Sus scrofa: one gene and its partner. The protein of the gene in region 2 interacts with the protein of the main gene of each other region in a pairwise test. Links are inferred from orthologs where the notes say so. Each region holds a gene or a part of one and is shown on either strand. Other genes may lie near its edges.

Region 1 (6,220 bases), on a different chromosome or scaffold from region 2:
ACTGAGATCAGGGATGACAGGTTTAAACAGTCTGCCCAAGGTCACTCTGCTAGTAAATGACAAAGGTGAGATTCTGACTCAAGCCACCTGACCTCAAACTCAAGTTGTCAAGCTACCTCTAACTCAATTACAAAAATCTAATCCCACTGTAAAAAAATTCAATGTTAAGTTCAAGTGAAGGTTTTCAAACAGTGACTTTCTCGGGTCTGACTTTTCTCCTTACCACTTTTTCCAGACACAGCCTCTTTGCTTAAATGTTGCTTTCTATGGAGAATTCAACTGAAGGATGGCAGAAGTAGGTAAACAAAATCTGACACCCAGGGTTTAGGGCTTTACACTAGTAGAACAGCATTTGATACTTTATTACAAATATTACAATTCTTAATGAGCTTCAATTAGTGTCTCAATTTAGGGATGCCAAAGGGTATGAATGTCTCCAGTATACACTATCTGAACAACCCTTAGAGGAAATGGGAGTATGGTTACAAAAGGGTGAGAATTCAAATAAACACAGGTGAATTCATGGAAAGATCCACTCGAAGTATCAACTTAATGATATCGCGTTAATATTTCATATGATCTAAGGAGATAACCATTTTTTTTTAAACGGCTGCACCTGTGGCATATGTAAATTCCTGGGCTAGGGGTCAAATCAAAGCTGTAGCTGCAGGCCTACACCACAGCCACTGCACACTGGTCCAAGCCACATCTTGGACCTATACAGCATCTTGTGAGCAAGGCCAGGGATCGAACCTGAATCTTCACAGAGATAATGATGGTTCTTAACCCGCTGAGCCAATTTTAACATTTTAACTGATTTTTTAAGTAAAGCTGGAAACACTGACATGTATGTTTAACTACTTGGCAAAAGGTAACTGCAAAAATAAATTGCCCAATCACAAAATGTAAAAGAGATTGCATTTTCATATGAACAACATCTATGGGGGAAATTACCTCGCAAAGAACTGAGAACCTCTATTAAACATGTATAGAGTTTTAAGCAAGGCAAGTATTATCATTGATTCTGCTACTGTTGCATCCCATAGTCTCTGACCTTTGATTCTCTAACCTGGCCCGCTTATAAAGAGTTCGCCAAAATAAAGACAGTAATCAATGCCAAAGACAAGGAAAATAACCTGCCTGTGCAAAATTCACATTTTATCTCCTGCTTACACAAATTAGAATTCATGTGACCCTGCTTACCGGAAAGCACTCTAACTTTTGAAGTACAACCAAGACTATCTCCCTGATAACTTCAAACCATTAATTAGAATCAATGACCCAAAAACCTGAAAAGGTTATATATCACACAGTTACTGAGCTCCAGCTACTACATTTCTCGACTTAAAACAGGTAAACATTTCACTTCCTGCCTTTAAACAGACTAAATTATTTTTAAGCAGTCTCTTGCCTCCACATGACACGGCTTTCTGTAGGATACACAATACCTGGGTGAGACAAACTAGAGGAGTCAGGACCTAAACCTGGGGGAGCGCTACGGATTTCTAAAAATCTGAACCAAGGGGCCCCTTCAACGTTCAGGCACTTTAGACAAGCACGTAAGGTGCACAGAGTATTCGTGACACTAGGCACCATGCCAACAGCAGGTATCATACCCCTATACCAGGCACACATTCGGCACCACCGGCACACGAGGTATCATCCCCCAGCCACACACCAGGTGCGCACTGCGCACCTCGGACACATAGCACCTAACACTGGGCGCACACCAGGCACCGTGCCCAAAGGCATGTAACAGGGAGCCCTGCGGACACACCTGGTATCACGCCCCCACTGTACCTAACACGGGGCACCACGGACACACCACGAGCGCCTGCACAGCTGGGTCAGAAAGGCGTAAGAGGGCAGTCCACTGGGAAGTCAGGGTCCCAAGCCCGCCTGCTGGGCCCCAGCTTAACTGCTCCCCTCCGGACGCCGGACACGCAGGCGGTCCTGCGGGGTCCCAGGAGGAACTGCTGAGGAGGCAGAGGCCTCGCTACTGTCCGTCCCCAGCCACGGGGACCGCGTCTGGCCTGGGCCCTTGGGGACCACACTGCCCAGCCGCGGCCACCGCTCGGAACAACGAGCCGCCACGGCAGGCGCCTCCCCGCCCCCACACTCACAGGGCCGCGTCCCGGCGGACCCCGACCCTGACTCCGGGCCCGAAGGCCTGGCCGCGCGGGGAGGGCCGGCCCGGCGGCCGGAGCTCACGCGACTCCCGGCTTCGCGGCCGAGCAGGCCCCGCGCAGTCCTCCTCCCGAGGGCCTCCGCCTCCTGCGGGGCCTCCCCCGCCGGGCGGCCAAGAGCGAGGGCGCAGGAGACCCCCGCAGCCCCGCAGGCCCCGGCCCATCGCAGACAAAGCTCCACCGTCCACTCCGCGCTGCCCGCGGAGGGCGAGCGGCGGTCACGCCCGCGGCCCGAGAGGCAGCAGCCGGGCCCGGACTCCACAAAGCCGCCGCGCCCCCGCCTCGGACGCCCCTGCCCGCGCCCCCGCCCCGCCGCCGCGGCCGAGCTTCTCCCACCATTATGCTCCGGTCCTCGCCGCCGCCGCCGCCGCCGCGCCCGGCCCTCCCCCTCCGCGCCCGGCCCGCCGCCCGCGCCGCCTCCTTCCCGCCGCGGCCGCCTCCTCCGAGCCTGGGCCGGCGGGTGCGGGGGGCCGCCGTCTCCCGGCCTTCCCGCCTCCGCGCGCCCGGCCTCCCCGCCGCCCCCAGGCTCCGCGGCCCGGCCTCCCCGCCGCCTCCGGCTCGCGGCCCGGCCTCCCCGCCTCCGGCTCCGCGGCCCGGGCCTCCTCCCCGCCGCCCGCCCCGGCGCGGCGCCTCGGGGGCGCCATGTTGACAGCCTTCGCCGCAGAAAGTCGCGAGCGCCCGGCGAGGGAAGCGCGGAGGCCCCGCCGCCGCACTTACGGTGTCGCCTCGCCGAGCGGCGGGCCGGGGCCGGGCGCGGAGTTGGGGCGCCGCCGCCCGCCGCGGGGAAAGTTTGCGTCCTGCCAGGCCGCGGCGCCGCTCACATGGCGGGTCGAGCGGGGCGGCCGCTCGCCGGCCCGGCCTCCTCGCCGCCGCCGCCGCCGCCGCCGCCCCCGGGCTTTATTGTGTGGCGGGCCGGCGGGCCGCGCAGCGGGTTCGGGCTCGGGCTCGGCGCGGGCTCCCTCCCGGCCCGGCCCGCCGCGCACGCCCACACCCACCTTCCCTCCGTCCTGTGCTCCGCGCCTCTCCCCAAACTGGAGCATATTCGTACAGATCCACACATGCACTTCATATCCACACACACGTGAAGGCTACGTACGTGCGGGCACGCGGGAGCCGGGAGCGGAGCGCACAAAGATCCGGCGCCCGCAGCATCGTCAGCTCGGACCCGCAGCTGCGGGCGCTGCCCGGCCGACGCCTGATTTCGTGTGCGTGGTGCCTGCCTGGAGTCGCCGTCGGAATGGCAAAGTCTTGGAGAAGCGTTAGCTTTTAATGGGCAAGATCGGTAAAATGGTGTTCATACCCTTTTAATTCTGTCATGAAAACGAACTGCGGGAATATGCTGCATTCCACACTTACGCCTTCCACAAGAACCGGACCACCCATTATCACTTTAGCAAAAACACCACCAATTGTTTAAGGAGAAGGAGGTTGTCTTTTTTAGTTTGTGATTGTGGATCTAACCAGAGAAGATCCCAATATGTGAAATAAGACAGGCTCAGAGAGAAGCATATTTTATAGATTTCACGTATTTTCCCTAATGACCTTTCTCCAGGAGGAGTTTGGAAGAAACACCTCTGCGCCAAAATTTCTTACCCTGACTCCATTTGGACATGTATATACCTGAAAATCACTGAAAGACACTTGTCCAAGAAATCTGGGGATTTAAATCCGATTCATCAATCTTTCATGGCCGGGCTGTAAGACTAAGACTTTAGAAATGGGTCGTACTTGACTAGGAGTTCCATGACGCACACCAGCGGAGGAAGCAGTCTTTCAGAGCCCTGGTCCTCATACACCCCAGAGGGGGTTTTGGTTACCTCAAGGAGCATCACAAAATCAGTTTAACTCATTTTAACTGTATGGATAAATACATGCCTTTAAACACTGGCAGACGGGTTAAAAAAATGTCAGAAAAAAATCGAGCCATGCCTGGTTTGAATGCTGGACCGGGAATTCTAACCAATGAATAGCTTTAAGTAAATCATCTTGTTTAAAAGACATCTGTAAAATAGAGATCAGCATGTGTTTCCCTGAGGCCACTCAAGGAAGACATTTTAGGAAAGAAGTCACTGTGTAACTCCACATTTTTCTCTAAATTTTTTTAGGCACCATTTTAATTTCTGTACCCAGATTTTATTTCTCATTCTACCTTGGTTTTGCCTACAATTTAACCTTTGGCTCTATTTCCCCTTCAAAACAGTTTTGTTTACCTCATTTTCCCCTCAGCCGAGTGAATAATAGGCAAGGGAAGTGGTCTGGGGGCTCCTGGTTTGGGATTGGGAGTTGGGAGGAAGCCCAGAAGACCAAGCACTTCTTGCCATACATCCTAGGTTACACCATGAATTTATCCACCAACATGCAAAGAGAGAGCAAGGAACTGAGTCGTGGAGGGAAAGAGGGAAAGGGAAGAGTAGTGGGCTCTGAGGGATGGTTTACTTCCCTTGGCCCTGTTTCGGAGACCTAGCACCACCCCAAGAAGGACCCCACCCAGCACTTCTGACCCTTCCCTACCCCCAGCTGACTCTCACCAGTGGTAATGTTGGACTGGATCAGGCTATCATTTTTCCAGATTCTGCTTTAAGAAATATTATGTACATAGAGAAGTCATGTGTTATTCAGCAAATTAATGTGGAATTTTTGTCTCTTTAAAAGAAATTAATCAAATCATATCCTTAATTTATACCCCACAGTTTAAAATAATCGAAATCACTTAAGTAATACATTGTAGCAACTGAAAATCATTTTTCTAAAGGTAGAAGAAAATATAGGTGGATATTTGTAAGATTAGTGTGGAGAAAACTATCCTAAGCTCTAAAGCAATGATTTTATCAGAAAAGGAAAGTGATAAATTTGACTGTATAAAAGTGTTTGAATCCTATATGTCAAAAACAGATGTAGATGTATTTTAAAATATGCCCATTAGGGTTACAACTTTTATAAGGAGCTTCTTTTTAATACCCTTTCCTCCACTTTCTTTTCATAATGAGGACCAATTCATATGTTTTTAGCACCGGCTTAGAGAGGGTGACTTCACAGCTCTGTAGAGTTGGGAGTCTCCTGCTAAATTTACATCTCAGTGTTCCTGGGTTGCAAGTATGTAGCAGTAAGCTTGTGCATGTGCTCCTGAAAGGCATTGATTTAATTTCTTTATTTTGCCTTTACCTTTAGTTTTGCTTTTAAATAACATGTTTTATGTTTCTGCTTTGCGTTAAAGGGTGAATTACATAAACATTGAGTATTGTATATACACTTTGTTTAAGAACATAATTTTAAGTGAAACTTTAAGTGAAAAACCATCAGGAATGCAGCACATTATACAGAAATTAGTGAATAGAAATTATGTTGTGTTGTAATAAGTAATGTAAACTCGTGAAATAAAATGGGAATAAAAAAATTTCAATGAGACCTTGTGCTTTTCATTTACGGGAACTCAGGAATATATATCCCTTTTTCTAATTTAAACTAATAGTAACTGCATTTTCAACTTACACGAATGGTTTTGCAATAACAAACAAATTACTCTCGTAAGGTGGGGAAGACTACAAGTAAAACTACAAGGCAAACGGGAGGAAAAATATGTATATGTAGGAAATAAGAACGAGGGTAATAGTCTTTAAATATAAAAAGCTATGTCACATCAGTAAGATAAACACCACACACAATACCAAAAAAAAAAAAAAAAAGAACAAGGTCATGGATGATTTACAAAAGAAGAAATATAAACTATTAATAAATATTGACAAATGGGAGTTCCCGTCGTGGCACAGTGGTTAACGAATCCGACTAGGAACCATGAGGTTGCGGGTTCGGTCCCTGCCCTTGCTCAGCGGGTTAACGATCCGGCGTTGCCGTGAGCTGTGGTGTAGGTTGCAGACGTGGCTCGGATCCCGCGTTGCTGTGGCTCTGGTGTAGGGTGGTGGCTGCAGCTCTGATTCAGCCCCTAACCTGGGAACCTCCATATGCCACTGGAGTGGCCCAAGAAATAGCAAAAAGACAAAAAATATATATATATATTGACAAATGTTCAAATTTGC
Region 2 (5,632 bases):
TTCAGTTTAATAAAAGCTAATTCAGTTTCTAATGAAAAAAAGTAACAGAGTATTACAAGTAGTAAGAGTGGTATCTACGAATGTGTTCCATGAAAGATCAATCTTTAAACGCCAATGATACCACAAAATCTTCTTGCTTCAATAGGTCAACAGGCTGTTTTTTCTGTATAAACCCATGCACAGCTCTTAATCTTAGTGCAGGGCCTGATAAATGAGACGTAGAGATAAATCAGATTTCACTTTTTCCTGTTTCTAAGAATTTTTAGTCTGTAAAATGTTTGGTCACTCAAAGCTATAAGATTAATCACATATCAAAGAATACAGGCAATAAGGCCCATCTTATGAGACATACAGTATTAAGCTGAACAAAATATGAGGACAAGCTCTAGTGGTCATTAAACCCCCTCAGAAAGTCTAAGAATCAGAATGTCTCCATCATATCAGAATAAAAATGTACTGTATTAAAATTTGAATTTTTACAAGTTGTTTTTTAATTAGTGTTCTATGTACAATGCAGGACTTCTGCCATCTGCAGTAGTTTAACTTTGGCACAACATTGAGTTCCATTTCTTTTGGGTATTGGATGCTATTTTTGAGATTGTGTATGCCCCAAAACGTTTTCAGTGTCATCAAAGATTGGGCCCATTCACAGTAAATCAGACATCTGGAATTGAAGAATTTGTTCTCCTCCAACGTTTTAGGAAGCTATAAAAGAAAAACATAACAAAAAACTAAAATTTAAAAGATAACCATATTTAAACATTTACCACTGTTAGGGAAAAAATGATATAAATTAGCCATGAAATTTATATTAGGCATCCTCTACATTCACACATGAATCCTGAGACCACTTGCCACGTGTGTCTTATACACTGCATTAGACTCTGTGTGCTACTCCAATGTGTAGGTTCTGCATACACTAGATTTGCTTATGGACATTTTTCATGTAATAATTTATAAAAAATTCATAGTAGGAAATATACATTTCATTGTATCTGTAATAAACAGACTATGAAATCTAAAAACTCTTGTATCTTCTATTATATACAGGACTAGCTTGTGCTATATAGATATATCACTTTTTTTTTTTTTTTTTTTTGCTATCTGTGTGGCAGCTTGATGTGAGATCTTAGTTCCCAGACTCAGGCTGCAGCAGTGCAAGCGCTGAGTCTTAACCACTAAACCACCAGGGAACTCCCTATGTATATCACTTTTTGGAGTAAATACACTGAAAAGGTTTTTGGTTTTTTTTGGTAAATTAAACCATTTAATGGTGAATCCTTTTATAAGATTAAAAATTATTTTGTTAGGCCAACAATAACTTTCTAATTAATGGGTTTTATAATTTTAGACTTTAGCATATTTTAAAAGCAGAGCACAGCAATTTATGTATCACAACGTGCATGTATAACTTATATGATACAATTTTTTGGAAACCATGGCTTTGTATGAATTTTCTGACCATAGTCTCCATCAGCATATTAATATATAACTTAAGAACTATCCACACAAACTACAAATAAGGTCAAACTAAGCTCTACAAAAAAGTTCATGTTATTTTTAGAATAAGATTGCAACTCCCTCCAAAATTACTGCAGAGGTTACTACAACAACAATTCACTGCAGCAACAAATTTGTTGATTTAATCTTGGCTGAGTGCACATTCTCACATTTAGCAGTAAAATAGAAATGCCTGTTAAAAATATTTTCTGCATCTAGGTTAGAAGAAAGCTTGTCCTGAAAATTTCTGACGTAACAAAATGGAGGGTTGCATTTCAGAACAAAGCGTACAGTACTGTTTAACCTCTTGTGACTCACTCACAACGATACATTATGCTCTACAACCTGGAATGAGAGCCATTCTAAAATAGATGCATTTTTAGTTTCATTTGTTTTTCTGCCTGAAAAAAACCAAAACTGTTAATGAAAAGAAAACCTGGAAAAAAACCTGCTAAGCAATAAGAATAGTGCCTGGTGCATATTAAGCTCTCTAGAAATAATTGTTAAAATAAATAAAATCCTGGAGAAAGGCGTGTGTGTGGGGGGATTAAGGAAATTCTGTGCAGAATAAAAGAGCATAAAAGTAGAGGATGGCATAAGGAAGCAAAAAGCTATGGTGACATGTAAATATGCTCACGTGAGGAGGGGCTAGGCCTCATTTCCTCCCCTGCTCTTCGAGAACACAGCAGGGATTTCTGACAAGATGCTACTGACGATGGACAGATACAAACACTTCATGACAACTGCACTGTTTTTAAAAAAGTATTGTCTTATCCTAGAACACTCCAAAACAGAGAGTAGAAGAGAACTATGCTACTGAGTTCCCAAAGCATTAGGAACTGAAGTTCTAATTCCAAATCAGGTATCTGATGTGCAACTAGAGGGAAATTTTAATTAACCCAATCTATAAAAGAACATGCCAAACCTTTCAAATCTAAAGCATATTTACTTACACTTTTTTGCCTACAGAGAGATATTTTTAACTGAATGCTGTTATGTTTCTGCTGGTAGCAGGTTTGTTTTATATCAAATAATGAAAAGACATTTTAGGCAATTGAGTTAATTTAATGTCAAATCTGTTATTTACCATTGATCTCTAAAACAGAAAAAATTTATATCACAGTTTTCAAAAACAGATGCCACCTAAGCAAACATGAACTTATATATAGCTTAAAACAGACCTTTGGCTTTTAATAGAAAAACTATTGAATAATTTTAATATATAAAGCATTTTAAACTCTAGTTAAAAATCTAATAGTGTAGGGGGGAATACAATGAATAAAAAAAGATACCCATTGGCACCTAGTTGCCTAAAACTGAGCAGTCCTCATCCCTGTGCTAAGTCTTTCCTTGAGTATACTTTTCCCCTTCTCTTTAGTTCTCTCTTTTGAATTCTTTCCTTAAACAGCTTTAATGAAGGAGGGTTGCAAGAAATACATTTTAGTTATCTTTAGTATTTGTGAATCCCCAACCCGCCCACCAGTCTTCCTTCTTAGAAAATGGGTAACTTTCCTTTAAAACAAAGTAATATTTCACATAGGAAATAAATAATTGGAGTTCCCTTTGTGGCTCAGCAGTTAACGAACCCAACTAGGATCCATGAGGAGGCGGTTTCGATCCTTGGCCTCGCTCAGTGGGTTTAAGGATCAAGTGTAGCCGTGAGCGGTGGTGCAGGTTACAGGCGTGGCTTGGATCTGGCCTTGCTGTGGCTGTGGTGTAGACCAGCAGCTGCAGCTCTGATTCGACCCCTAGCCTGGGAACCTCCATATGCCGCAGGTGCAGCCCTAAAAAGTAAAACAAACAAAAAACCATTAAGGCAACATGAAACTCTTTACAATAAACATAATCATCATAAAAATCAGACTACACACGATAATCACCTATCTCTCGGCTATACTCCCGGCACCCAGTCCTCTTATTAGTATGAGAGAAAACTACCTGAGAACAAAAACTGTCAAAAGCGAAGATGACAGGTACAAGGTGACTGGTCTAAACAGATGTGGCTGGTGAATATACACTCAGATTAAAAACTTACATTTCAGTCATCCGACTTAGAAAGCTTTCGTTTCACATGTCGTGGGGGTTCCCAAGTGTCACTATCGTCCGTTTCTTCTTCATCCTCTTCCTGATCGTCGATAACTTCCTCTTCCTCCTCGTTTTCCTCAAATAATTCTATTCCTAACTCTGATCTTCTCTGTCTTTCGGCAAACCATTCTCGGACCTGCTCGTAGCCCATGTGTGATTTGTTCACGAGTTCATCGAGGTCTTGCTCGTTTAGGAATTTGTGCTTCAGGTAATAGTCCTTAAGTATTGCAGTTCCAGTTTTAAATTTGATAAGCGACGGCCCCCTGTCCCAGCTGTTCATCCTCTTGCTTCCTCTGGGCCGCCCGCGAGGTCTTCCTCTTCCCCTTCCTTTGGGTCTCCCTCTCCCTCTTTTCCTCAGAGAGGACAGACCGTTCATGCTGGAGTTGGCGCTTTGATAGTAGTAGTACCATTTCAGGTTTCCGTTTTTCCAAGCATAACGGGTGTCCCCAAACCAGCTGACTATGTCTGTTCTAGCAAGGCCGCTTTCTTCGGCCAACTTGTCATACTCTTCTGGCGACGGCCACTGGGTTCGGACGAATGCGCTTTTAAGCATGTGCAACTGCTCGGGGGTTTTTTTACATATCTTGCCCGTAGTCCCTGACTTCGGTGCACTAGCCTCATCTCCGGGAGAAGTTTCTCCACCTTCTTCTTTGGAACTACCTGCATTGCTTTCCTCTATTTCCACTTTCTCTTCCTTTAAAGCTTTTGATTTCTTCTTCTCTGTAAACCAAGCATCAATTTCCCTTCTGGTGAGTTTGGTTTGCGCTCTTAACCTATTTAATTCCTCATCGGTAAGCACAGAGCTGTTGAGAAAACTCGCCTGAAGGGCACGGAGCTGCTCTGCCGTCTTCTCTTTAAACTTTTGGGGAGTGAAGTCGGGAAAAGGATTCCAGGATTGTTTCTGCTGTGACGCAACAGTTGGGGATTCCGTGGTTTCATCACTGGAGTCTATAATAATAGTGGCCGAGGAATCATTGTTGAGATGTAAGCACTGATTACTCTTTGAATTTCTCTGGTTGTACCTTGTGTCGCTGAACCATTTTTTAATCTCTCCTTTAGTCAGGCCTGTGATTTTCATAAGTCTGATAATTTCGGAATCGTGGGGAAACTGATTCTTCAGGTAGCTGACTTTTAATTCTGCCAGTTGCTCTTTAGTCTTTTTTGCCCGAATGCCAAATGAGTCAGGGTTTGCCAATGTGGTTTCGTGTTTGACAAGCTGAGAAGACGGGACTGCTGCTGTTGCTGGTTTGGTTTCTGCACCAGCCTGGGCAGCAGGCACCTGGCTTTTCTGTACAGTTGTTTGATTTGGAACTCCTGCCACGGTCAGGGCTATAGGTGCTGTGACTGGCAAGGTATTTGTGCCAGCTACCTGTGTAAGGACCAGACCTGGCTGACCAACTATTTGGCATGTCTGTAAAATGGATGGTAAACCATTACTCCCTGTGGAAATGTGGGTAGGAATGACAGTGATGGTCTGAGGTACTGTGTGTACTGTGCCGTTGAACTGTTTTCTTCTTGCCTCCTCTACCTCCTCGGGAGTCCAACTAACACCATGTTTTAGACGTTGGGCTGAAAACCATATCTTGATCTGTTCCTCTGTATATTTTGCTTGGGCAGAAAGAACAGTAATTTCTGACATTGTTGGATAAGGGAATTTGTTGTAGGTGTTAAGCAAAAGGGGGTTGTTATCCAATGCAGCATTGTAGGTAGGAATGCTATTCACAGGGATTAAGACTTTGGGAATCAAACTGGAATTCTGCTGAGCTGAGACAGCGGTTATCACCTGCGCTAACCCAGGAAGAACAGCTGCTGCTGGGGTCACAACTGTGCTGGCAGTAGTTGGATGTATTCTGTTAACGAGGGAAGTACTTGTACTCGATTCAGAAGCTGAAGAACTTGGATTTTCCACAGTTTCTTCATGGTCTGCTTTGATTTCATTCTCTTTCTCTTCTGGAACGTCCTCAACTGAGTTATGATGAACTGTAATCCGTTTGTTCTCCACTTTATTTTTCATCATTTTCATGATAGGAGTTTTACTGATAGATAT

Evidence for each region.
Region 1: the proteins of ZHX1 (region 2) and ZMYND11 interact in a two-hybrid assay, tested with the Homo sapiens proteins (2 studies listed by BioGRID and IntAct). The link is inferred for Sus scrofa from reciprocal best matches to the Homo sapiens genes ZHX1 and ZMYND11.

The regions. Positions count from the first base shown.
Region 1 is NC_010452.4:69,291,913-69,298,132, forward strand, and holds the start of ZMYND11 (zinc finger MYND domain-containing protein 11), read right to left. Parts: upstream 3,505-6,220; 5' UTR 3,283-3,504; exon of another isoform or gene 3,182-3,282; intron 3,117-3,181; exon of another isoform or gene 2,904-3,116; intron 1-2,903. UniProt on the Homo sapiens protein: Chromatin reader that specifically recognizes and binds histone H3.3 trimethylated at 'Lys-36' (H3.3K36me3) and regulates RNA polymerase II elongation. Does not bind other histone H3 subtypes (H3.1 or H3.2).
Region 2 is NC_010446.5:16,119,858-16,125,489, reverse strand, and holds part of ZHX1 (zinc fingers and homeoboxes protein 1), read right to left. Parts: coding exon 3,539-5,632; 3' UTR 3,536-3,538; intron 706-3,535; exon of another isoform or gene 1-705. UniProt on the Homo sapiens protein: Acts as a transcriptional repressor. Increases DNMT3B-mediated repressive transcriptional activity when DNMT3B is tethered to DNA. May link molecule between DNMT3B and other co-repressor proteins.